4 linked regions of the Arabidopsis thaliana genome follow. The protein of the gene in region 4 purifies or fractionates together with the protein of the main gene of each other region. This does not show direct contact. Each region holds a gene or a part of one and is shown on either strand. Other genes may lie near its edges. The genes, in order: MKK5, CPK20, CDPK6 and HDA15.

Region 1 (5,288 bases), 1.1 Mb from region 4:
ATGAAAGTGGTCGATACCGAAACCGGAATCTCCTTGCCGCGCAACAAATCTGGCGAGATCTGCGTCCGAGGTCATCAGCTCATGAAAGGTAAAAAGGGTCAAACGATCAAGCTATGTCCCTTCTTTTTTTTCCTTTGGGAGAATAAACATTGATAGGGAAAACATGGTGCAATGTTGTTAGGTTATTTGAATGATCCGGAAGCTACTGCACGAACCATAGACAAAGACGGGTGGTTACATACAGGAGATATTGGGTTTGTGGATGATGATGATGAGATCTTCATTGTTGATCGGTTGAAGGAACTGATCAAATTCAAAGGCTACCAAGTGGCTCCAGCTGAGCTTGAAGCATTGCTTATTTCTCATCCTTCTATCGATGATGCCGCAGTTGTTGCGTGAGTTCAAAACAAATCTGAAACTTCCAAACTGAGACACTAAAATGGTTGTTGTCTCTAATGATATTTGAATTTTCAGAATGAAGGATGAAGTAGCTGATGAGGTTCCAGTAGCATTTGTAGCAAGATCTCAAGGGTCTCAGTTAACTGAAGATGATGTCAAGAGTTACGTAAACAAACAGGTACGAATTCGCTTTCGGTTTTTCAATGCGAAACACACACAAGATGGAAAACTGTCTATGTCTTAAATCAATGGTGTGATGGTTTATATAGGTGGTTCACTACAAGCGGATTAAGATGGTGTTTTTCATAGAAGTTATACCAAAAGCAGTTTCGGGCAAGATTCTGAGGAAGGATCTGCGAGCTAAATTGGAAACCATGTGCTCTAAATAGACACAAGAGAGTTTCAAATGTATGTGTAAATTCGAACATTATAGTCTCTAAGAAGTAAGGAGTAAGAAGCAAGTATTTGGTATTTGATTTGGTTTTCACGAGATCAATCATGTAAAGTCAACAAATCTAGGAAACCTAAAGCTAAGCTACCCTCAGAAACATAAATTCATTTCCTATAATCATCATTTCACTATTTTCTTAAGAAGAATTATAAATTTAGAGAATTAAGGAACAGAAACATACCCACAAAAGCGACAATGAGAAGTGATTACGCTGGGTAGACTTATGTACTGGGACACACACTCAAAGTTATCCTCCTCTGCAAGCTGAATGCTTCAAGTATTCAGGTGAATCAATCAGCACAAACTTCAGCAAACCTGCAGAGAAAGACGTGGCCCAGCCGCCCAGCGGAAAGGTCTAATGTGGTTAGAAGTCAAGACCAATAGGACACTTGAGAGCTAGATTCCTAGCCATAAGGTAGACTTTTTTGAGTAGATGCTGAAGAACCTAGAATCTGACCTGGACAGTTGAGAGTTACATTCCTAATCACACTAAAACATCAAGGCAATTTGACGGATACTGAACACAAAACCATTGGGAGAGAGAGAGAGAGAGAGAGAGAGAGAACGAGAAGCAGAAACAAGGTGAATAGCTGATGTTTACATGCATGATGCATGCTCAAAGATGGAACCAAATGAAAGCTTTCTGAATTTGACCAATTGCAAGAGCATCACATGATTTCGTTCAAACAAAAGTTCCTAAACAAGCTTTCAACTTTTACCGCAATAATTAGACCATAACTGGCAAAGAAAAAATAACGCAGTAGGCACTAGGGTAGCCTTTGTAATGTTCACAAGACGGAAACTAGAAAACCATAAAGAGAATTAAAGGAAGAAGCTTTATTAATGAGAATTATCCAATGAAAGATCCTCCATTTACTTCCTTATATAAACAATAATATAAGCAAATCCAGCTAAAATCACTCTTAAACCATAAGAATTCTTCTTGTCTATTTTTTTGTTTCCATTTCTAGCAAAACATTCTTCATTACCCATAAGACAAATCAAGCTTAGCAGCATAAGATAAAGACTCAATAAACCCTAACCACAAACTGAGTTTCTTCCTGACGACTCATACCCCAATCACAAACCACATTGTTCTTCTACTCTTCTCATTATCTTTGCTTGGGGTATGCAAAACTTATGGAAAAATGTCAGGAAAAACTACGAAAAATTGAAAAACAAGAAAGACGAAAATGGTAGAAACACTAAGAGGCAGAAGGAAGAGGACGAGGCGGCGGCAACATTTGACGGAGATTAGGACCACCGGTAGCTTTAAGTATGAAAGGATGCTGCAAAAGCTGTTGAGCTGACCATCTCTTAGGAGGATCACTCTGTAAACAACAAGAAACAAAGTGACGAAACTCCTGAGACGCCGTAGCCGGAGCTTCAGGTGGCTGAGACATACAAATAGCACACATAAGACTAGCCCAATCACCTTGTCTACTCACAGCAAAAGGAAACCTCCCCAAGTAAAACTCCAAGATACTAACACCTAAACTCCAAACATCTCCAGCATAACCATCGTAACGACCATGATTCAAATCAGTATTAATCCTCTCAGGACTCATATAAGCAATAGTACCAACAGATGAATTACAAGGATCCATTGTTTGTGCCAAGATCCTACTCACACCAAAATCAGCAATTTTCACATTTTTAGCTGAGTTTATAAGAAGATTCGAAGGTTTGATATCACGATGAACGATATGACGACGATGAAGATAAGCTAATCCACTAAGAATCTGACGAGAGAGATCAGCTAATTCCTGTTCTTGCCATATATGAGCTCCTTCAAGAGATCCTTGATCCATAAACTCAAGCAAAACCTGGATCTCACCGTTATGATCAAACATATCGTGACATTTCACAACGTTTGGATGATCAACACTTCTTAAGATCTCGATCTCTCTACAGATCTGACGTCTCACGGTATCTTCGTGGTTTCCGTAAATCACTTTGAGAGCGAAAGGACGTGACGTCGGAGTGTGGATTACTTTGTAAACCGTTCCTCCGGCTCCGCTTCCGATTCGGTTCACTCGTTCTAGCTCGGATAAGCTTTTAGCGGCGGAGATGTTGGTTGAGATCGCGGAGGAAGACGCCGGAGCGGATGAAGAGGAAGAAGGAGGTGGGAGAGGGAGAGGTACGGCGAGAGCGACGTCGCGGTGTGGGAGTGGTAAGCTTAGGTCAGGACGTTTGCGTAAACGGTTCTTCATAGGTGAAGCTACTCCAGAAGGAGATTGAATCGGTTTCATGGCTTTTAGAAGAAGAGGGAATCAAAAGTTTTTTTTTTTTTTCACAAGGTTGATTCTTTATCTTCCAGGTTTGTATTTATCATCATGATTGACTTGACTCTAGGGTTTGTTTGATTCGTCGTTTTTCAAAGAGATCAAATCAAGAGGAGAATGAAGCTTCATCGAAGAGATTTGTGAAAATGATTGTAAGAAACAAGAAAAAAAAAAAAAGTTAAAATGGTAAGACGAAGGTACGCGTTGATGGAAAGAGCGTGGAATACACTCGCACTTGTGTGGCTCTGTGTTGTTACACGTTAACCATGTTTTTTGTTTGGTCGGGTCTGAATTGGATTATAATATCATTAAGAGTGTTTAAGATCGTGGATTTAGATACTATAAATTTGGTGTTAGGTATTTAATATTTTTAGAAAGTAAGAAAATACAGATTAAAGTTTCTTTCCAATAAAAACAATTGAAAAAAGAAAAACTTAAAGTAATTATAATTCTAAAAAAATTAAAAACTAATTTTCTTTTTAAAGTTTTTAACAGAAAAAGAAAGAAATAAAATTAAAGTGGTACAGTGTTCACGTGCGATGCATGTGACTTAAAAAATAAGTTTGCCTTCTTTGCCGTCAATTCTTCCGCAGAAGTTTTTTCGAACAATCAATCTCTGACTCTCTGAGTAATTAGGTTTTTTTTTTATCTCATGGCCGGCGCCGGAATCCACCCATACCACCAGCAGTGGCCGCCGGCAGGTGCGCCGCCTCCTCCAGCCGCAGTATCATCAGCTGCTCCACCACATCCGCCGCCCATTCATCACCATCCTCCTCCTCCTCCTGTTTTAGTTGACAACCATAATCGTCCTCCTTATGACGAGGTTCAACTCTTTCTCTTTCTCTCTATACATATCGGTGATTCTTGTGCTGTGTTGTCGAGATGGGCTTGCTTGATTTTTGTTTACGTTGAGGTTTTAATTTGCCTGCTTTTTGATATACAATGTTAGCTTGATTTTGCTACGGAATCGATAAATTGTCCAAAGTTATGACCTTTTTGATAAGAATGATTTTTAAGTTTGTTACTAAAATCTCACTTATGACCTGTTGCATAAGTGAGAAAGGTTCTCTTATCTTGTCATGTAGTTGGAGTTTTCTGATTTTGGGAAAACGTGATCTCTTACACAAGTTTGAATCTGTTGTTCAGCTGCGGACAATCTTCATCGCAGGGCTTCCCGATGATGTAAAAGAGAGAGAGCTTTTGAATCTCTTGAGATGGTTGCCTGGTTACGAGGCTTCTCAGGTGAACTTCAAGGGAGAAAAGCCCATGGGGTTTGCTCTTTTCTCCACAGCTCAGTTTGCAATGGCAGCCAAAGATACCCTTCAGGTCTGTCTGCTTCTGATCATTGTTGACTCAGATCCTTTTTTGTCTTCACATTATGACATATGTTGTTCTTGGCATGCAGCATATGGTGTTTGATGCTGAGTCAAAGTCTGTGATACATACAGAGATGGCCAAGAAGAATCTTTTTGTTAAAAGAGGTTAGCTCTACCTTTATGACATAAAATGGCTGTATTTTATCTATCTTAAGCATTAGTCATGTTACTGAAGCATGTTTGATACAGTTTTGTGCATTTATACGGGGTCTCACTACACTCTCCCCTTTATCTAGTTTCTTACTTCCTTTGTTAATATCACAAACCATATATAACCTTTGAACTCAATCTTTATTCTGTAGGTATTGTTGGGGATTCAAATGCTTATGATCAAAGTAAGCGCCTACGAACTGGTGGTGACTGCACACACTCTGTGTATAGTCCATCTCCTTTCCATCCTCCACCTCCTCCTGTGTGGGGACCTCCTCATGGGTTAGGCATTTGCTTCTCCTTCATATTTCATATGCTGTGTAGAAATTGGACGATGTGTATTTGGTACACCGTTTTATGTTAAGTTGCTTATTTGACAAGAAGATAAATTGGTTCAGATATATGGCACCTGCACCTCCACCATATGATCCCTATGCAGGTTATCATGCTCCCCCTGTACCAATGCCTACGCCCCCACCTATAGCAGCTCCTAGTTCTTATGTGCCTGTCCAGGTGAAGTTGCACTGTTTTCATCATTTTATTTATCATATGGTGGTTGTGCAATTATATACCCGGAATCCATATTGTACTTGCCTCTCCTTGCCTAAAAATTACAATCTCGAACTT
Region 2 (5,362 bases), on a different chromosome or scaffold from region 4:
GTCAAGAGTGAGGCATCTTCTCCATCTTCATGTAGCCACTGGGATGCAGAGATACATGATTCGCCTACGCAGATGCTTCACTGACGAAAAACAAGCTTTAGTCCAAGAGGGCCAAATCTTGATTCAATACATCACCATGAATGCAATTGCTATCCGTAAAATCCTCAAGAAATATGACAAGGTTAGAGATTATGGCAAAGATAATAATTCATTTTAAAATAAGAAGATGTGACTTCATTTGTTGTGAGAAAGTAAACTGCTTAAAAATGCTTTCAGGTGCATAGCTCAGAGAATGGGAAGAATTTCAAGTTGAAAATGCGAGCGGAGCGCATAGAGCTCTTGCACTCACCATGGCTCATAGAACTTGGAGCCTTTTATCTCAACTCTGGGCTAGATAATGTTGGAAACTTCAAGAATTCGTTTGGCCGTGTCGCTTGTGAAAATCTCAACGAAGATCAACCAGTGCTAAAACTCATGCTGCCTAACTCAATAGAGCTGGAGTATGATCTAACTTGTGCAATCTGCCTCGTAATAAAAAATCTCTTTGCATTTTTTCACAAATAAAATGTAGTTTGCATATCTGGAGGTGAAAATAGTAATTTGTTGTGGATAAATTTGGGCAGGAAACGGTATTCAATCCCTATGCTTTAAAGTGCGGTCACATATTTTGTAACTCGTGTGCATGCTCGGCTGCTTCTGTATTGATTTTCCAAGGCATTAAAGCAGCGCCCCGACATTCAAAATGTCCCATCTGCAGAGAGGTTTGTTTAGATTCTTGCAACATTAAACGTGTTCTTCTCTCAACTTTTGTTTCCAATATCTATAATGAGGTCAATCTTGATTTATTCCTTGCGGTATCAGGCTGGAGTTTACGCGGAAGCAGTTCACATGATCGAGCTGCATCTTCTTTTAAAGACACGGTAAGACAAGTCTCAAATTTTAGATTGCACCAAATCAGTATAGATGTGTCCATAAAATTTGAACTGATGATTATTATCATTCATATAGCAAGATGGTGTTTTCATTCGTTAAGTAACTAGAAAATGAAGTTGCGATCGAATTTTTGTTCTTAATTTTTTTTTTAAGTTTTGAAGTCGTTATGAGTGAGCCTTTCATAAACATCTGAATATATTCTTGGGGTGGTATATATTGTTCAAACTGTATTTATATTGCAAGAATTATTAATGTCATATGATGAAAGCATAATATATTTTTTTGTAGAAGCAAAGAATATTGGAAGGAGAGGATGATGAATGAACGGTCTGAGATGGTGAAGCAGTCGAAGATGTTTTGGAATGAACAGACGAAGCATATGATCGGTTATTAATGGTGTATCTCTTCAAGTTCAATTATTAACTTCATCTAAACAAAAGGTGATGACAAAAAAAAAGATATATTACTTTTATTTGTTTCTGCCGTGCCCGAGACATTACAGATTCGAGAGAGAATCATAATTAGGAGAGGTTTATTTTATTTTTTTTCTTTGGTGAGACATAAATCGAGTTGTGTTTAAATACTTTTTTGTGTTGTTTAAGATGTTATTGGATGTTGTTCCTTATTAATTGTTTAAAAGACAAGTCAATAGATTACACACGTTCATCAGTTCATGTCTATATACATCACAAGTTTCAGAATTTTACTTTAGATAAACAAAATTTCTTCTTATTGTATATTTTCTTCAATCAAAATATTTATTAACTAAATCCTTCGCAGTTAATTCCCTACAATATAATCACTCAACGTTATATATTTTTTCAAAAAAATTAATTAATTGTTAAAAATTAAAAGACAAAAAGAAATTGTTTTTGATAAAAGTGAGTCCTAGTCTAAAATTGGGCTCTGTAAAAAAACTTTCCATATTTTCTCGTAAAAATGGACGGCAATGGCATAGTCCTTTCCTTGTTCTCTCTCGTTCCTTCTTCCCCTCCTCTGATCATCAGCTCATCAGATCTTCTCCGAATCAAATCATTTAGCCACATTTTACAATTCCAAGACGTTTCTCGACCATTTTGTATCCGGAAAACGTGCAGAACAAGGTTGCTTGCGAGCGACTTAGGTGGTCAATTCATTATCTCAGGTTTTCACCGAGCTGTGTCGATTTTGAAGACACGGCAATATTCTATATGGATTCATCATTCACGTTGATGACGCTAATGAGTGGTTCGTGTTTTCATTGTCGGAGAAGTAATAGATAATCTCAAACAGAGAGAAGAAAAAAAAAGAAGCAAAATTAGGTTTTGTGATTTTAGGTTAAATTTTTTGAATGGGAAACACATGCGTGGGTCCGAATCTGAACCCTAATGGATTCCTTCAATCCGTTAGTGCTGCCGTGTGGCGGAATCAGAAACCAGACGATAGCATTAAGAGCAGCAAGGACGAGAGCAGTCGAAAAAAGAACGATAAAAGCGTTAATGGCGACGACAGTAACGGTCACGTTTCCTCCACCGTGGATCCAGCACCATCCACGTTGCCAACACCGAGCACACCACCACCTCCGGTGAAAATGGCCAACGAAGAACCACCACCAAAACCTATCACAGAGAACAAAGAAGATCCGAATTCGAAACCGCAGAAGAAAGAAGCGCACATGAAACGTATGGCAAGCGCAGGTCTACAAATAGACTCAGTTCTTGGGAGAAAAACAGAGAATCTCAAAGATATATACAGTGTTGGGAGAAAATTAGGTCAAGGACAATTTGGAACAACGTTTCTTTGCGTGGATAAGAAGACAGGTAAAGAGTTCGCTTGTAAAACGATAGCTAAGAGGAAATTAACAACACCTGAGGATGTTGAAGATGTGAGAAGAGAGATTCAGATAATGCATCATTTGTCTGGTCATCCAAACGTGATTCAGATCGTTGGTGCGTATGAAGATGCAGTAGCTGTTCATGTTGTGATGGAGATTTGTGCAGGTGGAGAGTTATTTGATAGGATTATACAGAGAGGGCATTATACTGAGAAAAAAGCTGCTGAGCTTGCTAGGATCATTGTTGGTGTTATAGAAGCTTGTCATTCTTTAGGTGTAATGCACCGTGATCTTAAGCCTGAGAATTTTTTATTTGTTAGTGGAGATGAAGAAGCTGCTCTCAAGACTATTGATTTTGGCCTCTCTGTTTTCTTTAAACCAGGTATAGTATATGTCCCCAATGCTACTTTTAACAGATCCCATATACAATATGATCTTGACTATATATGTTGGTGATTACAGGAGAAACATTCACTGATGTCGTTGGTAGTCCTTATTATGTGGCACCAGAAGTTTTAAGGAAACATTATAGTCATGAATGTGATGTTTGGAGTGCCGGAGTTATTATTTACATTTTACTAAGTGGCGTCCCTCCGTTTTGGGATGGTAAGAGACAGTTGTTGATTCATTGTTTCAGGTATGTTGAAGTGATAAAGAGACTGATTGGATTGTGCTTATATGTCAGAAACGGAACAGGGGATCTTTGAGCAGGTTTTGAAAGGTGACCTTGATTTTATATCAGAACCATGGCCTAGTGTATCAGAAAGTGCCAAGGATTTGGTCCGTCGGATGCTAATCAGAGACCCTAAGAAGCGAATGACTACTCATGAAGTTCTCTGTTAGTGTTCTTGTTTCCAAATAAGTTATATCTTTTTGATAAGAGTAAGTACTATAAAGATTTGTAAAATGTTGAATTTATATTTTAGGTCATCCATGGGCCAGAGTAGATGGTGTTGCTCTTGATAAACCTCTTGATTCTGCTGTCCTAAGTCGTTTGCAACAATTTTCAGCCATGAACAAGCTCAAGAAAATAGCTATCAAGGTAAACATTTTGAATTGGTTTCTATCATCTATACCAAATTATGTGCAAGATAGAGAGTTATACGTGATGTATTTGATTCAGGTAATAGCAGAAAGCTTGTCAGAGGAAGAAATAGCAGGATTGAAGGAAATGTTCAAGATGATAGATACAGATAATAGTGGACACATCACTCTCGAAGAACTCAAGAAAGGTTTGGACAGAGTTGGTGCTGACCTTAAAGATTCAGAAATACTAGGATTAATGCAAGCAGTAAGTCCATTTTTATACTGAAATCACCTTTTGTTTACTATATGATGTGAGATGTGTGAGATAATAATTTGGAAAAATATGAACATTTGATCAGGCGGATATAGATAACAGTGGGACAATAGACTATGGAGAGTTTATAGCAGCAATGGTGCATTTGAACAAAATAGAGAAAGAAGACCATTTGTTCACAGCATTCTCTTACTTTGACCAAGATGGAAGTGGTTATATAACCAGAGACGAGCTCCAACAAGCTTGCAAGCAATTTGGCTTAGCGGATGTTCATTTAGACGACATTTTACGCGAAGTCGATAAAGACAACGTAACAACTCATTAATATGCAATTGATATGCTTTACCTATAGTTACTTGCAAGAACATTGTTCTTTATAATGATGTTATATGATTGTTTTTGTCAGGATGGAAGAATAGACTACAGCGAGTTTGTGGATATGATGCAAGACACTGGTTTTGGCAAAATGGGTTTAAAGGTGAGTTGAAGAAACAAAACCTCAATGACCCCATTTTTTCCAACACTTATTTTTTCTTTTCTCTTTTTAAGTATAATTTAATCTTTGTGGATATATGTATATGGGCTGCTTACTGCTTAGCATTAGCATTCTTGAGCAGGTTTTTGTCCTCTCTGTTCCACATTTTTTTTGTATTTAAGTTTCTCATGAGTCATGTCCTTTAACTCTCCCTTTACTCAACTAGGAGAAAAAATGTATAGGTTTCACTTTGGAAGATAACCAAAGATTGTAATTTCATTTTTCTTATATGTACTTTTAGTAGGTCAATGTAAAACTCTAGAAATTATTGAAAATGTTTATGTAAATTATTACACAATATCGATTTTAATATGTAAATCTAGTGAGTGATAAATTATTAATCTTTTCACAATAAAACTAAAAATTCTTTGAAAAGAGGGGATGGAGTAAACAGATTCGAATCATAAACATTAAAATGTTATCTTCTTGGCCTCTCAAAAAAGGAGAAATTGAAAATATCTGTGAGATTTCCGTGGAATTAGTGGAAGCAGTTTTGAAGTAAAGCAGTTTGTTTGACGTGTTCATCGCTACGAAAGCGTCTCCACGTGTCACGTGATACACTGCAAGCAGTACACGTGTCAAACACCACTTCTTTTACTTCTTGACCAAACTTTCACACCACTTCCCTTCTGTCCACAAAACCTCTCTTTCTTGTTTCTGTTTCTGTTTCTCTTCTTCTCCAAAACATCAAAAATGGGATCAGAAACTTTCTTGGAAATTATTCTGGCGATTCTTCTACCTCCCGTCGGCGTTTTCCTTCGATATGGTTGTGGGGTAAGCA
Region 3 (5,230 bases), on a different chromosome or scaffold from region 4:
CCGCAGGAGTAGCAATAAGGAATCTAGGGGTTTAAGATTTCCGACGTATCGGTCGAGAGAAGGGAGCGACATACCATGATTCAAGCCGCCGGCGAGTAAGATGCGGCGTAGCTTGGATCTTCAACGATCAGAGATTACACGCCGGAGACTAGTTCTTTGGAATCGGAATCGAATCTAGAGAAAAACGATCAACGATCATTTGTTGTTTTTATTATCGAGAGAAGAAAAATTTAACAAATTCGATCCAAAGCTCGCGGTCCTTCTTCTTCTTCCAGTTTTTTTTTTATATATATCTCAGTTGATTTTTTATTCGTTCTTTTAATTTTTTTTACTCATTTTAGTTGTCCGATTTCTCTGTGAGAAAATGTCACCAAGATTATTAGATTTCGTCATTTTTCATGTATAAAAATCGGATTTGAAACTTCTAATCCCTCCTACTGCACCTTGCTTATTTTTTTATTGCCTTGATTAGATATAATCTCAAATTTGTTTGTAAGGGTTAAGATTATCATTCTATAATTTTTTAAGTGAATTTCAGCTTCAAATCATGCAAGAATCAACCTGTAATTATTATATATTGAATCTCTCATAAGTCATTAACCAAACCTGCAAATGGCTTTCTGATCTCAAAGTATTTTTTATGTTGTGTTGATAAAAAGAGATTGCAGGAAACAAAATAATTGATTGTAACAGAAACACAAAGTTTGAGTAAAGTGATAACCAAAAACAAACAAACAACATCAAAAGATCTCTCACATTCTGCGTCGGTTTGGCACCAATTCTGGATTTCCCTTCTTCATCATCGCTACAAATTCTTCGTAGTTGATTTTTCCGTCCTAAAGATTCGAATACAAAGATGAGAAGAGAGTGTTAAACTTACACGTATACTTACAGATGTATGAATTGGACGAAACCAGAGATTTACGTATACTTACACGATCGGTGTCTACTTCAGCAATGATCTCTTTGATGGATTTATCATCACCCATGTTGTATTTCTTCATGGCTAGCTCTAGCTCTTCCATTGTTATGTAGCTAATATCACAAATCAAGATCAAAGAGTGAGACTTTATTTATAGCTTGTTAAAGAAAGAAATAGAGAGCTAAAGAACAATGTTTTACCCGCTGTTGTCATTGTCAAAGAACTGGAATGCGGTGTACAAGTGATCCTCACGTTCGATTCTGTTCATATGCATTGTGGCTGATATAAACTCCAAGTAATCAATTGATCCATCTCCATCCATATCAGCCTAAAAGAAACAAAGCATCATAAGCATTATTGCTTTGACATCAAAGTAGTGGATTGTGATAGACTTACTGCTTCCATTAACTGCCTTATTTCAGCTTCAGAGATCTTTGAACCAAGTTTTGGGAGACCGGTTCTCAATTCCTCCAAGGTGACTATTCCATTGTTATCAGTGTCTAGAGATTTGAACATCTCTTTAAGACCAATGATTTCTTCTTCAGAAAGGTTCTCAGCGATAACCTGAAATTGCAAAACGAAAACCAAAGATTGGCTTTAGAACAAGAAGACTACATAAACTACAATAGTGATGGTAAGACTGTTTCAATCAGTGTTTTAATTACCTTCAGGGCCATTTTTTTTAGTTTGTTCATCGCCCGGAATTGTTTCATCCTGGATAACACCGCATTGTCAAGCGGTTTGTCTGATGCCTCCCCATCTTCTCTAATCCACGGATGATCTGCGTATGTATCAAAACGTTATTAAAATTGGATAAAAGAAGGTGTTTTCATCAATTTATTCATCAAAACATGTTATAAAGGGGTCTTACTTAGCACTTCCGCAGCTGTAAGCCGATCTTTAGGGTCATATTTTAACATTTTCCTCACAAGATCTTTGGCACCATCTGATAGTGCTGGCCATGGATCAGCTGAAAAATCAAGTTGCCCTTGAAGAATGGCATCAAAGATCCCCGTTTCATTTTCTGCACAACAGAAAGAACGTGACTATACATTCCAGTCCAACATTTAAACAGTGAAACCAAATTCTCTTCTCAAATAAGATCAAGACAATACCTCCCCAGAAAGGCGGAACACCACTGAGAAGGATGTATAGAATCACACCAGCACTCCAGATATCAGCCTCTGGTCCATAGTTCCGTTTTAGAACTTCTGGGGCAACATAGTATGCACTTCCAACAAGATCCTTAAACTTATCACCTGCATTAATGGATCAACTTCATTAGAGGGATAAATTGTCTATAGAAATCAAATAGGGAAGGATAGAGGCTGTTCAAACCTGGCTTGAAGAAGACAGAGAGACCAAAGTCTGTAGCTTTCAATGGTGAGTTCTCATCTTTACTAAGAAAGAGAAAGTTTTCGGGCTTCAAGTCTCGGTGCATTACACCCATAGAATGACAACTATGCACAACCATCACCATCTGCCTACACAAATCCGCAGCAGCTCTCTCTGAGTAAAGACCTTTAGAAATGATCCTATCGAACAATTCCCCTCCTTCACACAACTCCATTATCAGATTCACAGAGTGTCTGTCCTCGTAGGCTCCCTTCAAGTCCACTATGTTCCTATAATCAACTCACCAATTTGAAACTCAGGTAAATATAAATATGCAAAAAGGGAAACTTTTTCAAGAGTTTAACATAGGACCACCAAACTTTTCATCCACATATGATGCAAACCATTCATTAATATAGAAAACGAATCCTATGTCTAAATATTCACCAATATTCCAACAAAAGGCGTTTCAGATTCGATTTCGGAAAATGTCAAAGAAGCATTTTCCAGTGAGATACAAAAAAAGAGATTTACCGGTGACCGCTGAGATGGTGCATAATCTGGACTTCACGGCGAACATCTTCAATGTCGTCTTTGTGAACAAGGCGGCGCGTAGGGATTGACTTGCAAGCGACCTGTTGTTTCGTCTCTTTGTGAGTTACGAGGTACGTGACACCAAACTGGCCACGACCAAGCTCACGACCAAACTCATAGGTTCTCCGTACTTCCTCCATCGGCCGACCTAAGATCCGACCATTCTGCTGAGTAGATGTGGTGGAACGAGATCCGCCTGTTCCGGAGCCTGACGATCCGACGGTTCCGGAACCGGATGATCCGCGGCGTTCTCCGGCAGGTTTAACATGGTGGACTACGTTGCCGGAGGAAGAGGAGGAGGAGGACGGTGGCGGATCGGAGGATTTGGACTTGCTGTGTCTGTGGCCCATTGTCAAAAGCTTTCTCTCAGTCAATAAAGTCAATCGAGAGAGAAAGATTGTATCTCCGATTCTTATGGCTTTTTAATGTCTGAGATCAGACACGATGACCACGTGGCGTGTTTTTATTGGTACGTAGTTGAACCGCGTATAAACAAAAGTATTTGTCCCATTGGAAGATAAATTAGTGGATGTGGAAATCTTCTGCATATTAGTTGTTTCCACTTCTCCAATCAATCACACGGCTAATTCAATGTTAATCTTTTGCAATTTGAGATTGAAAAAGGAAAAGTTATTAACATCCTTTAGGTTACAAAATCAATGATATTGCGTATGTCAACTATAAAAGCCAAAAGTAAAGCCTCTTGTTTGACCAGAAGGTCATGATCATTGTATACATACAGCCAAACTACCTCCTGGAAGAAAAGACATGGATCCCAAACAACAACAATAGCTTCTTTTACAAGAACCAGTAGTAACTAGTCACTAATCTAAAAGAGTTAAGTTTCAGCTTTTCTGGCAATGGCTCCTTGATCATTTCAATCCTGAAGGAGACCCACTTTGTAGCAAGACCATGTCCTCTGTTTCACTTACAGTGTGTCTCAAAAGTCTACTTCAATTCTTCATATATAGGTTCCTCACACTACAGCTTCATCCTCATTCGTTGACAGAGAGAGAGTCTTTATTGAAAACTTCTTCCAAGTACAACTCCACTAAATATAATAGCACCAAACCACTTGTTCGACACAAATCTGTACAGATATAAAAACACTATTAGGTTTTCCAAGGCAAATCACATAATTGGATTGTGAAAGAGTACAAAAGATAAACCCAAATTTTCATACTTTCTACTGCAGTCAGCACCAGATGATAAGTCAGCTGTCCCTATTTGCCATCCTAACTGTCCTGATGCAGCGGCCAGTGATGCGTAATATTGCCACCCTTAATCATTAGAGCGAGAAACAAAAAGAATCAAAAGACAGTAAATGGAATTAGGAATCACAAATGAGTCCTTGTAAAGTTTATTGAGTACCGAGATCTGCACTGAATCCAGAAAGTGCAAGAAAACCTATGGATGCTGTGCCAAATCCAGTTAACCAAAGCTTTGTATTATCACCGAATCTAAGGGCTGTTGACTTAACACCAACTTTTACATCATCTTCTTTGTCCTGGAGACACAATATATTAGACATTAGTCCATGGAAAAAAAATGATTTAACCTAGAATATCTCAAAATTACTTGCATAAAAACTGAACTTGAGCTGAAATTTTGGGTTCGTAGCTTGTGGCATATACTATTTCATTTTCAATGGGCCACAAAGGTAACTTTCTTTTCTCACTTCTGTTGCAAACGGGAAGACTTTTATGGGGCTAACTCTTCACTTAAAGTATAGAAATCAGATGGAAAAGGTGGGAGATCAGGGTAATTTTCTTCTTTATGATTGACAAAAGTCGAACATCGAAATGGATGCATTTGCATGAGACATGAAACAAAAGCTGAAAAAGAAATCTGTGGTGGTGAAGCTAGAAAAAGAAAACAAAGCAAGCAATATGCACACATTGAGATTAACTACTTTGCTACTGGTCATAATCAAATAGATTTTGAAGCTAAAAAATAAAAAGTGAATATACCTGATGTGCATAAATAGTATCATAAACAAGGGTCCAGCAGACTCCGGAGAGATAGAGAGGGAGTACAATAGATGGTGCTATGCTTCCTTTAACTGCAGTCCATCCTAACAATGCTCCCCAGTTTATGGTCAAACCTAAAAAGGCTTGAGGCTGCAATTATAAAAACGAATCAATCATAAGAAAATCAGAAAATATATAATGTCTAACTTTGAGAAGCCAGAATAGATTTAAATTACCCAAAATGTAAACCTCTTCATAAGTGGGTAGGAAAAGACAAGTAACAAAGATGAAGCCCCTAAAACACGGCTGCAGAATATACATACTGAAATGAGCTCAAGTAGAAAAGAATTTGATCACAAAACTAAAGACAAGACCTGAGAACATATCTTCAGAATTTGGGCCAACTACA
Region 4 (6,488 bases):
TCCTTGGAATTTGCATTTTATGTATTTATTTAGCAGTTAACCATAACGTTAGTTTGCATGTTCAATTTAAATTCAAAGAAATTAAGATGAGATATGGACGGTCTGCAATACCGTATGTTCTAACATAATATTCCAATAATCAAAGTGAATAAATCAATCTCTACCGATGATGAATCTTTGAACTGAAAGGAGACAAGAAAACAATACATCAAATATTTTCAACCATAATGGGAAGCTAGTCGGTCACACTTCACAAAGTGGCCTTTATTTTTGGGTTGTTTCGTTGAAGGGTCCCGAATCAATGGTAGGGAATACTTTCTCCTTATCTCTTTCTCTCTCACTCCAATATATATAATATGATGAATCTTCACTTCCATTTAAACATCACACAATCATCACACAATCACCCTGAATCCCTGATAATAAGGAAAAACAAAAAAGTTTGTTTTATAAACACACTTTAAACAATGAGGGAGAAGTACACAAAGGAGGAAGCAGTGAAGAATTGGGAGAAGAAGAAGAACAAGCCTTCTTCACCAAAAGGAGTTGGAGAGTTTCTGAAAAAGAAGAAAGGAAGGTTCTACATTATTGGAAAATGTATTACTATGCTTCTTTGTTCACACAAGTGATAGTCAACACACATTTTTTCATACATATTTATGTTATCATGTATAGGTATAGATGATGATAGAGGTATAAAAAGGAGAGAGAGCTCAACATATTTACATCTTTAACATTTCGGTGTTCATCTCTCATTTTATGTGGGTGTGTTCTTGTTGTCGTCGTCGTTGTTATATATGGAAATATATCACTCAATATTCTTCTTGTGAACTATATATATAACGGAATACTATCTCCCATAGTCCCATGTTTGTAGAATTAATATTAATGTATGAATAATAAATTCTTAGAGAAAAGACAAAGACGATGCTTTTGAGTACTATATGGAGATGCATGCACACAAACATGTATTATATAACAAAGAAATTGGATTCAGTACTTACAGTTAGAATTAGGTTAAGGTAAAAGAAAAAGGTAAGGGAAACAAATATCAGTCTCACATGTGTTAATGCGCTTGGGCGTATTTTGATTATGTTAGCTGGTCATTATCAGTTAGTTTAACCATTAGTCATTCTACAATCTGTAGTGTGACGTTTAATTACCTGATGATTCAAACATTTTTCACTATAAATATTATGAAGTTATCAGTTAGGTTATTTACCAAACAAAAATTCAATGACATAACAACTAAAGTCTCATTCCCTTTAAAAAATGGTAACTTTTGTAATCCATTTCGAGAAGACAACAAACCTAAATTGGCTTTGTGAAGTAAGATTCAGTCGTACTTTGCTCTTTCAATACTTGAACATTAATGAAAAATTCCAAGCAAAAGGAAATAAAAATAAATAGTTTGACTCAAATTTGGTAATGGGCTTATAGTGTTATTGGGTCTTCATCTTCAGCCCAAATAATCTTTTACTCTTTCAAGTCTGAACGTCGTCATCTTCGTTGTCGCCGTCGTCGTTTCTCTCATTTCTGCTCTGTTGTGCTATCGTAGCGTCGCGCTCCTTTAAACGCGACGGACGCAGCCTTCTCTGTTCATCGTTTCGCCGGAAGTTTTCTTCAGGTATGATATTTTGAGACCGTCGTTGATATTTTTATTCAGTTTCCATAGAGAAAAAAAAACAATTCCTGAGTTCTGGATCGAGGATCGATTTCGATAATACTCGAAGAAAAGTTGGGTTCTTCGTAAAGTTATTTGTTGTAGCTGTGTGTGGAGTTCTTTACATTTTCTTCGATTTTGATTTTAGCTCTTCGTATATGAAACTTTTTGATTTTTAAAATTTCTCAAATTGGGTTTTTCTTTGTTTCTCTTTTGGCACAGCGGAGATTTATTTTCAGCTGGTTAGTAGTTTTGAGTGACTACTGAGGTAACAATGGTTGTAGAAACTATCGAGAGGTCTTGTGAGGGTTCAAAGAGAAGACATGTGAACGGTGGAGATATCGCTGTTCCTTGTTCGGGAGAAGAGTGTAGCAATGGAGATATAAATGTAGCTCCTGGAGTTTCAGCGGTAAGCTAAAAACCATGGCTTCCTTTTAATGTATTGTCAGAGATTTGGTTGGTTCTGCTTTTGGTGATATTGGTCATTGTTGTGTCTTATGCAGAAAAGAGCTAGGGTTTCTAGAGAAATGACGTTTGAAGATATTTACGGTGCTGATGCATTACTCAATGATGACGATGATGAGGATGATGATTGTGATTGGGAACCTGTGCAGGCGCCTATGGAGTTTGTAAAATGGTGTTGTGTCAATTGCACTATGTCGAACCCTGGTGATATGGTCCACTGTTGTGTACGTTTTTTATTTACTTTTTCTTGCTTGGCTACTACTTTTTATGATTTCAAAGTGACAAACGTACGTCTGAGCAATGCGCATTGGACATTGGTTATGTATTAGTAAAGTTGATTCCTTGACGTAGATATGCGGTGAGCACAAGGAATCTGGCATTTTGAGGCATGGATATTTAGCGTCTCCCTTTTTTAAAGACACTGGTCTCATTGAAGTCGAGGAGAAATATGGAGGTAGGAATTACTTCCCTTGCTTCCTCTGAAAATGTCTTTATAAATATTGTTAGTCTCAGTTCCATGCTATTTAAGTAACTGTAAGCATGTTCACTTTTCTTTTAACTTGATATTAGGAAGCTCATCTGCAACCAGCTCGACAGCTGTTGGGTTCGACGAGAGAATGTTGCTACACTCAGAAGTATGATCTTGTTACTGTTATGTGTTATGTTTTCCTGAGAAACCTCTAGTATCTGTTGACATCTCTACATTATCATCTCCAAAGCTTTTCTTCGTGCAAGTTTTTCTATTTAATATGTGCTGATGGCATGCTTAAAAAGTTTGAAGTGAAGGCACAACCACATCCAGAGAGACCTGATCGTCTTCGAGCTATAGCTGCTAGTCTTGCCACAGCTGGTATGTTGCGTTTACTTCCTTTAAACCTAGCCTCTCTTGAGAAGAAGACTAATGTTTGGAAGCTGATTATTATTAAGATTTGGAGATCATTATATAGATCTCTTGCAGCCGAGGTAAGTTAAAACTAAAAAGGAAAATAATAAAATTCTAATTCTAAAAGGAAAAGATCAGAACATAACTTCTTCAATTAAGAAGCTTCTAGCGTCCTTGTCTACCTTCTCTGAGACTTGATCCCATATATCATATCATGTGTTTCATTTTACAGTATCATACTGTTGGGAGTAATTTTGGTACTCACCACGTTTGAATTTTTTTGCAGGTGTTTTTCCTGGAAGATGCTTGCCTATCAATGCAAGGGAAATCACGAAACAAGAACTCCAGATGGTGAGCTGCTACATAACTGTCTTAGAGACAATTCTAATATTATGTTCATTGCAGTACTTTTACAAGCAATTTCATAACTGGTTTGTATATGTCAATTTTGAGGTCCACACTTCAGAGCATGTTGATGCTGTTGATACTACAAGCCAGCTTCTCTATAGGTTTGAATTTTAAACCATTTGTTACTTTTTTTTTTGCGTTCACCGTGCATATCCTTGCTTGTTAATCTGACTGTTCAAACTTGAATTGAAATTTCCTTTACCTTCGCTGCTCCTCATTTATCTCTTTTTGCTCTTGATCCCGTTCTTTTACCATTGTCTGGCAGCTACTTCACCTCTGACACATATGCTAATGAGTATTCAGCACGTGCTGCTAGACTTGCAGCAGGTTTGTGCGCTGATCTAGCTACAGATATTTTCACTGGCCGTGTAAAAAATGGTTTTGCTTTGGTATGTCTAATTCACCAAAATTTTTAAATTTAAAGATGCAACTACACAATTGCTTTAAATTGAAATTACACCATATTAGTTTGAAAAAAAAAAATCTCTGATTGTATCAGGTTAGACCTCCCGGTCATCATGCTGGCGTCAGGCATGCTATGGGGTTTTGCCTTCACAATAATGCAGCCGTTGCTGCATTAGTAGCACAAGCAGCAGGGGCAAAGAAGGTGCTGATTGTGGACTGGGTAATGTTACTGATAACTCTAAACTGGGTGATTTTGTAGATCTTCAAACTTTTTTAATTCGTTGTACTCTGCATTGTGTGGTTTGGCTCATATCAATGTTATATCTACCGTTGCAGGATGTCCATCATGGCAACGGAACCCAAGAGATATTCGAACAAAACAAATCTGTAAGCTGCCCAAATCTATGCATGTCTGCACATCAATTTTGGAGTGTTGGATGCAGTAAATTATTTTTGTGAGTTGACCTTGTTTGAACTTATTACTGGGAGTCATTGCATAGGTATTGTACATATCCTTGCACAGACATGAGGGAGGAAACTTCTATCCCGGTACTGGAGCTGCTGATGAGGTACCTATGCTTTTCTGTTTTACATTGTCTCATCCAGCATTCATGAGTAGATTTAGTTGTTGGTATATATATGCATATACCTTATTTGTGTGTTTGGTTTGCATTATGATTTATGTCTTAAATTTTGGGATTATTTTCTAATTTCTGCCTTGTTTCCAAAATTTGAATTTTCTCTAGGCGGCAGAACAATAGTTTGCTAATGTTAATTATGGGTGCAGGTTGGTTCTAATGGTGGGGAAGGTTATTGTGTAAATGTTCCATGGAGTTGCGGTGGAGTTGGGGATAAAGACTATATCTTTGCGTTTCAACATGTGGTTCTCCCCATAGGTACAGAGTCGTTCTACTTTTCCCCATTTGATAAACGTTTTGGCTTAATTGATGACTAATATGCTCAGGAAGTGGACCAAATACATTTAGCTCACTTTTGAATGTGCACTCAGTCTAATTTTAACTGGAACCTTCTCTTGCAGCTTCTGCATTTTCTCCAGATTTTGTCATCATATCTGCGGGATTTGATGCGGCTAGAGGAGACCCACTAGGATGCTGTGATGTAAGCTTCATATTCGAGCTGTAATTTACCACTTCTGGAATCAGTGTATTGTTTTGTGGATATCAACAGAGGATAGATGTTCTGTTCTACTCCTTTTTTCAGGTGACTCCGGCTGGCTATTCTCGAATGACACAGATGTTGGGTGATCTGTGTGGTGGGAAAATGCTAGTTATTCTCGAGGGCGGGTATGTGTTTTGCAGTTTTTTGGAGTAGCCTCTTGGTTTGTAAGGAGCAGCTTTTGAATAATCTCCTGTTTTCATTTGCAGCTACAATCTTCGCTCCATATCTGCTTCTGCAACAGCAGTGATCAAGGTTAGTCTCTATTTCAAACTTGATATCCTTTAAAATCTGCATATAGTTATGGAGATTCATGATCCCGCTTAATCTATAAAGGTGCTTCTGGGTGAAAATCCGGAGAACGAGTTGCCCATCGCCACCACGCCTTCAGTAGCCGGCCTGCAAACTGTTCTTGATGTACTGAATATCCAACTGGAGTTCTGGCCATCACTTGCTATCAGCTACTCCAAATTACTCTCAGAGTTGGAAGCACGTCTGATCGAAAACAAAAGTGAGTGATGCTTCCCAAAAAAAAAACTATTTCATTCTTCATCCTTCTTTCTCCTAATAAAATCTCACTGGTTTTACAGAAAATCAGATGAAAAGGAAGGTTGTTCGGGTTCCGACATGGTGGAAATGGGGACGAAAGAAGCTTTTGTACAACTTTCTCTCGGCTCGTATGATTTCAAGATCAAAGTGATTTTAGAAAGCATTCTTCCTAATCCGTCGTAGGAATTGTCTACACTTACTTGTAACCCTAACTGATCTGGGGGAATTTATTGCAATTAGGGAGCTCTGAACAATCTTTATCACTTACATTTGGTAGGGTTTTATAGAAAGAACCCTTTTAACCTGCTTACCAACCATCCTCATCAGACCTCTTAAGCTAGGCAATCGGTTTGGATAAACGAATTCCTACTTTAACCAAATTTATAGTTCGGTTTGGTTTATCTTAAAATTATTGATGTCGAACCAAACCAAAAACAAATTTCTTGTTCATTTCTCGGTGTCCAAAATCCTCATTTTCCAATAATTCCGGTATATTCTTTTTGGTTTTGGTATATTTCAATCAATTTCAGTATATTTGACACAGTTTGATACGGCTAGGAAATTTGATTTACAAAAAAGAAAAAAGTAGAAGAATTTAAGAATATTTAGAAATTTATGAAAAACTAAAAGAGCTTCTAAATACGGATATGTTCAATCTTCCAAAACCAAACAAAACAGTTTTGTCGGTATTTTGAACCAAATCTAATTACCAAAATTTTGGCACTGTTCGGCTAAGAATATTAGTCCAGCTCTATTAAATAAGAACTTTCGAATAATCGCTTCGATTCAGATTAATTCTTTCTGATTTTAGGTAGATAGAGGGGCTATCGGTTAATTTCGATTATGAACTAGCTGAATTTTTGTAAATCAACCACATTTTATTTAATCATATGTTTGTTTTCTAAGAGAATTTGAATCTAAAAAACCTTGTATGTTTTT

What was found.
Region 1: the proteins of HDA15 (region 4) and MKK5 purify together in Arabidopsis thaliana (affinity purification with mass spectrometry, with the first as the bait; one study listed by BioGRID). This does not show direct contact.
Region 2: the proteins of HDA15 (region 4) and CPK20 purify together in Arabidopsis thaliana (affinity purification with mass spectrometry, with the first as the bait; one study listed by BioGRID). This does not show direct contact.
Region 3: the proteins of HDA15 (region 4) and CDPK6 purify together in Arabidopsis thaliana (affinity purification with mass spectrometry, with the first as the bait; one study listed by BioGRID). This does not show direct contact.

Annotation. Positions count from the first base shown.
Region 1 is NC_003074.8:7,443,731-7,449,018, reverse strand, and holds MKK5 (MAP kinase kinase 5), read right to left. Parts: upstream 3,416-5,288; 5' UTR 3,103-3,415; coding exon 2,056-3,102; 3' UTR 1,032-2,055; intron 980-1,031; downstream 1-979. Other genes in the region: 4CL5 (4-coumarate:CoA ligase 5), read left to right, coding at 1-88, 182-395, 475-577, 669-788; AT3G21215 (RNA-binding (RRM/RBD/RNP motifs) family protein), read left to right, coding at 3,788-3,958, 4,282-4,461, 4,541-4,616, 4,814-4,943, 5,060-5,174. UniProt on the Arabidopsis thaliana protein: Mitogen-activated protein kinase kinase (MAPKK) which regulates abscisic acid (ABA) responses in a MAPKKK20-MKK5-MPK6 cascade involved in root growth (e.g. root cell division and elongation) and stomatal response, probably via MAPK6 activation by protein phosphorylation.
Region 2 is NC_003071.7:16,244,385-16,249,746, reverse strand, and holds CPK20 (calcium-dependent protein kinase 20), read left to right. Parts: upstream 1-1,891; 5' UTR 1,892-2,263; coding exon 2,264-3,128; intron 3,129-3,208; coding exon 3,209-3,352; intron 3,353-3,431; coding exon 3,432-3,584; intron 3,585-3,672; coding exon 3,673-3,788; intron 3,789-3,869; coding exon 3,870-4,037; intron 4,038-4,131; coding exon 4,132-4,356; intron 4,357-4,452; coding exon 4,453-4,533; 3' UTR 4,534-4,841; downstream 4,842-5,362. Other genes in the region: AT2G38920 (SPX (SYG1/Pho81/XPR1) domain-containing protein / zinc finger (C3HC4-type RING finger) protein-like protein), read left to right, coding at 1-181, 277-528, 624-761, 862-920, 1,222-1,327; AT2G38905 (Low temperature and salt responsive protein family), read left to right, coding at 5,275-5,355.
Region 3 is NC_003075.7:12,324,215-12,329,444, forward strand, and holds CDPK6 (calcium-dependent protein kinase 6), read right to left. Parts: upstream 3,438-5,230; 5' UTR 3,202-3,437; coding exon 2,792-3,201; intron 2,548-2,791; coding exon 2,261-2,547; intron 2,182-2,260; coding exon 2,038-2,181; intron 1,947-2,037; coding exon 1,794-1,946; intron 1,704-1,793; coding exon 1,588-1,703; intron 1,487-1,587; coding exon 1,319-1,486; intron 1,251-1,318; coding exon 1,123-1,250; intron 1,036-1,122; coding exon 936-1,035; intron 837-935; coding exon 753-836; 3' UTR 544-752; downstream 1-543. Other genes in the region: TRH1 (Potassium transporter family protein), read right to left, coding at 75-77; PPT1 (polyprenyltransferase 1), read right to left, coding at 3,872-3,941, 4,035-4,131, 4,223-4,358, 4,648-4,713, 4,822-4,971, 5,058-5,127. UniProt on the Arabidopsis thaliana protein: May play a role in signal transduction pathways that involve calcium as a second messenger. Functions in abscisic acid (ABA) regulation of guard cell S-type anion- and Ca(2+)-permeable channels and stomatal closure.
Region 4 is NC_003074.8:6,359,668-6,366,155, forward strand, and holds HDA15 (histone deacetylase 15), read left to right. Parts: upstream 1-1,508; 5' UTR 1,509-1,627; intron 1,628-1,885; 5' UTR 1,886-1,937; coding exon 1,938-2,072; intron 2,073-2,166; coding exon 2,167-2,352; intron 2,353-2,479; coding exon 2,480-2,582; intron 2,583-2,698; coding exon 2,699-2,763; intron 2,764-2,902; coding exon 2,903-2,978; intron 2,979-3,297; coding exon 3,298-3,362; intron 3,363-3,464; coding exon 3,465-3,520; intron 3,521-3,684; coding exon 3,685-3,808; intron 3,809-3,918; coding exon 3,919-4,044; intron 4,045-4,160; coding exon 4,161-4,211; intron 4,212-4,324; coding exon 4,325-4,393; intron 4,394-4,611; coding exon 4,612-4,720; intron 4,721-4,863; coding exon 4,864-4,943; intron 4,944-5,045; coding exon 5,046-5,128; coding exon of another isoform or gene 5,129-5,156; exon of another isoform or gene 5,157-5,209; coding exon 5,210-5,255; exon of another isoform or gene 5,256-5,336; coding exon 5,337-5,515; coding exon of another isoform or gene 5,516-5,519; exon of another isoform or gene 5,520-5,590; coding exon 5,591-5,732; 3' UTR 5,733-5,948; and 1 more. Other genes in the region: RTFL20 (ROTUNDIFOLIA like 20), read left to right, coding at 468-629. UniProt on the Arabidopsis thaliana protein: Responsible for the deacetylation of lysine residues on the N-terminal part of the core histones (H2A, H2B, H3 and H4).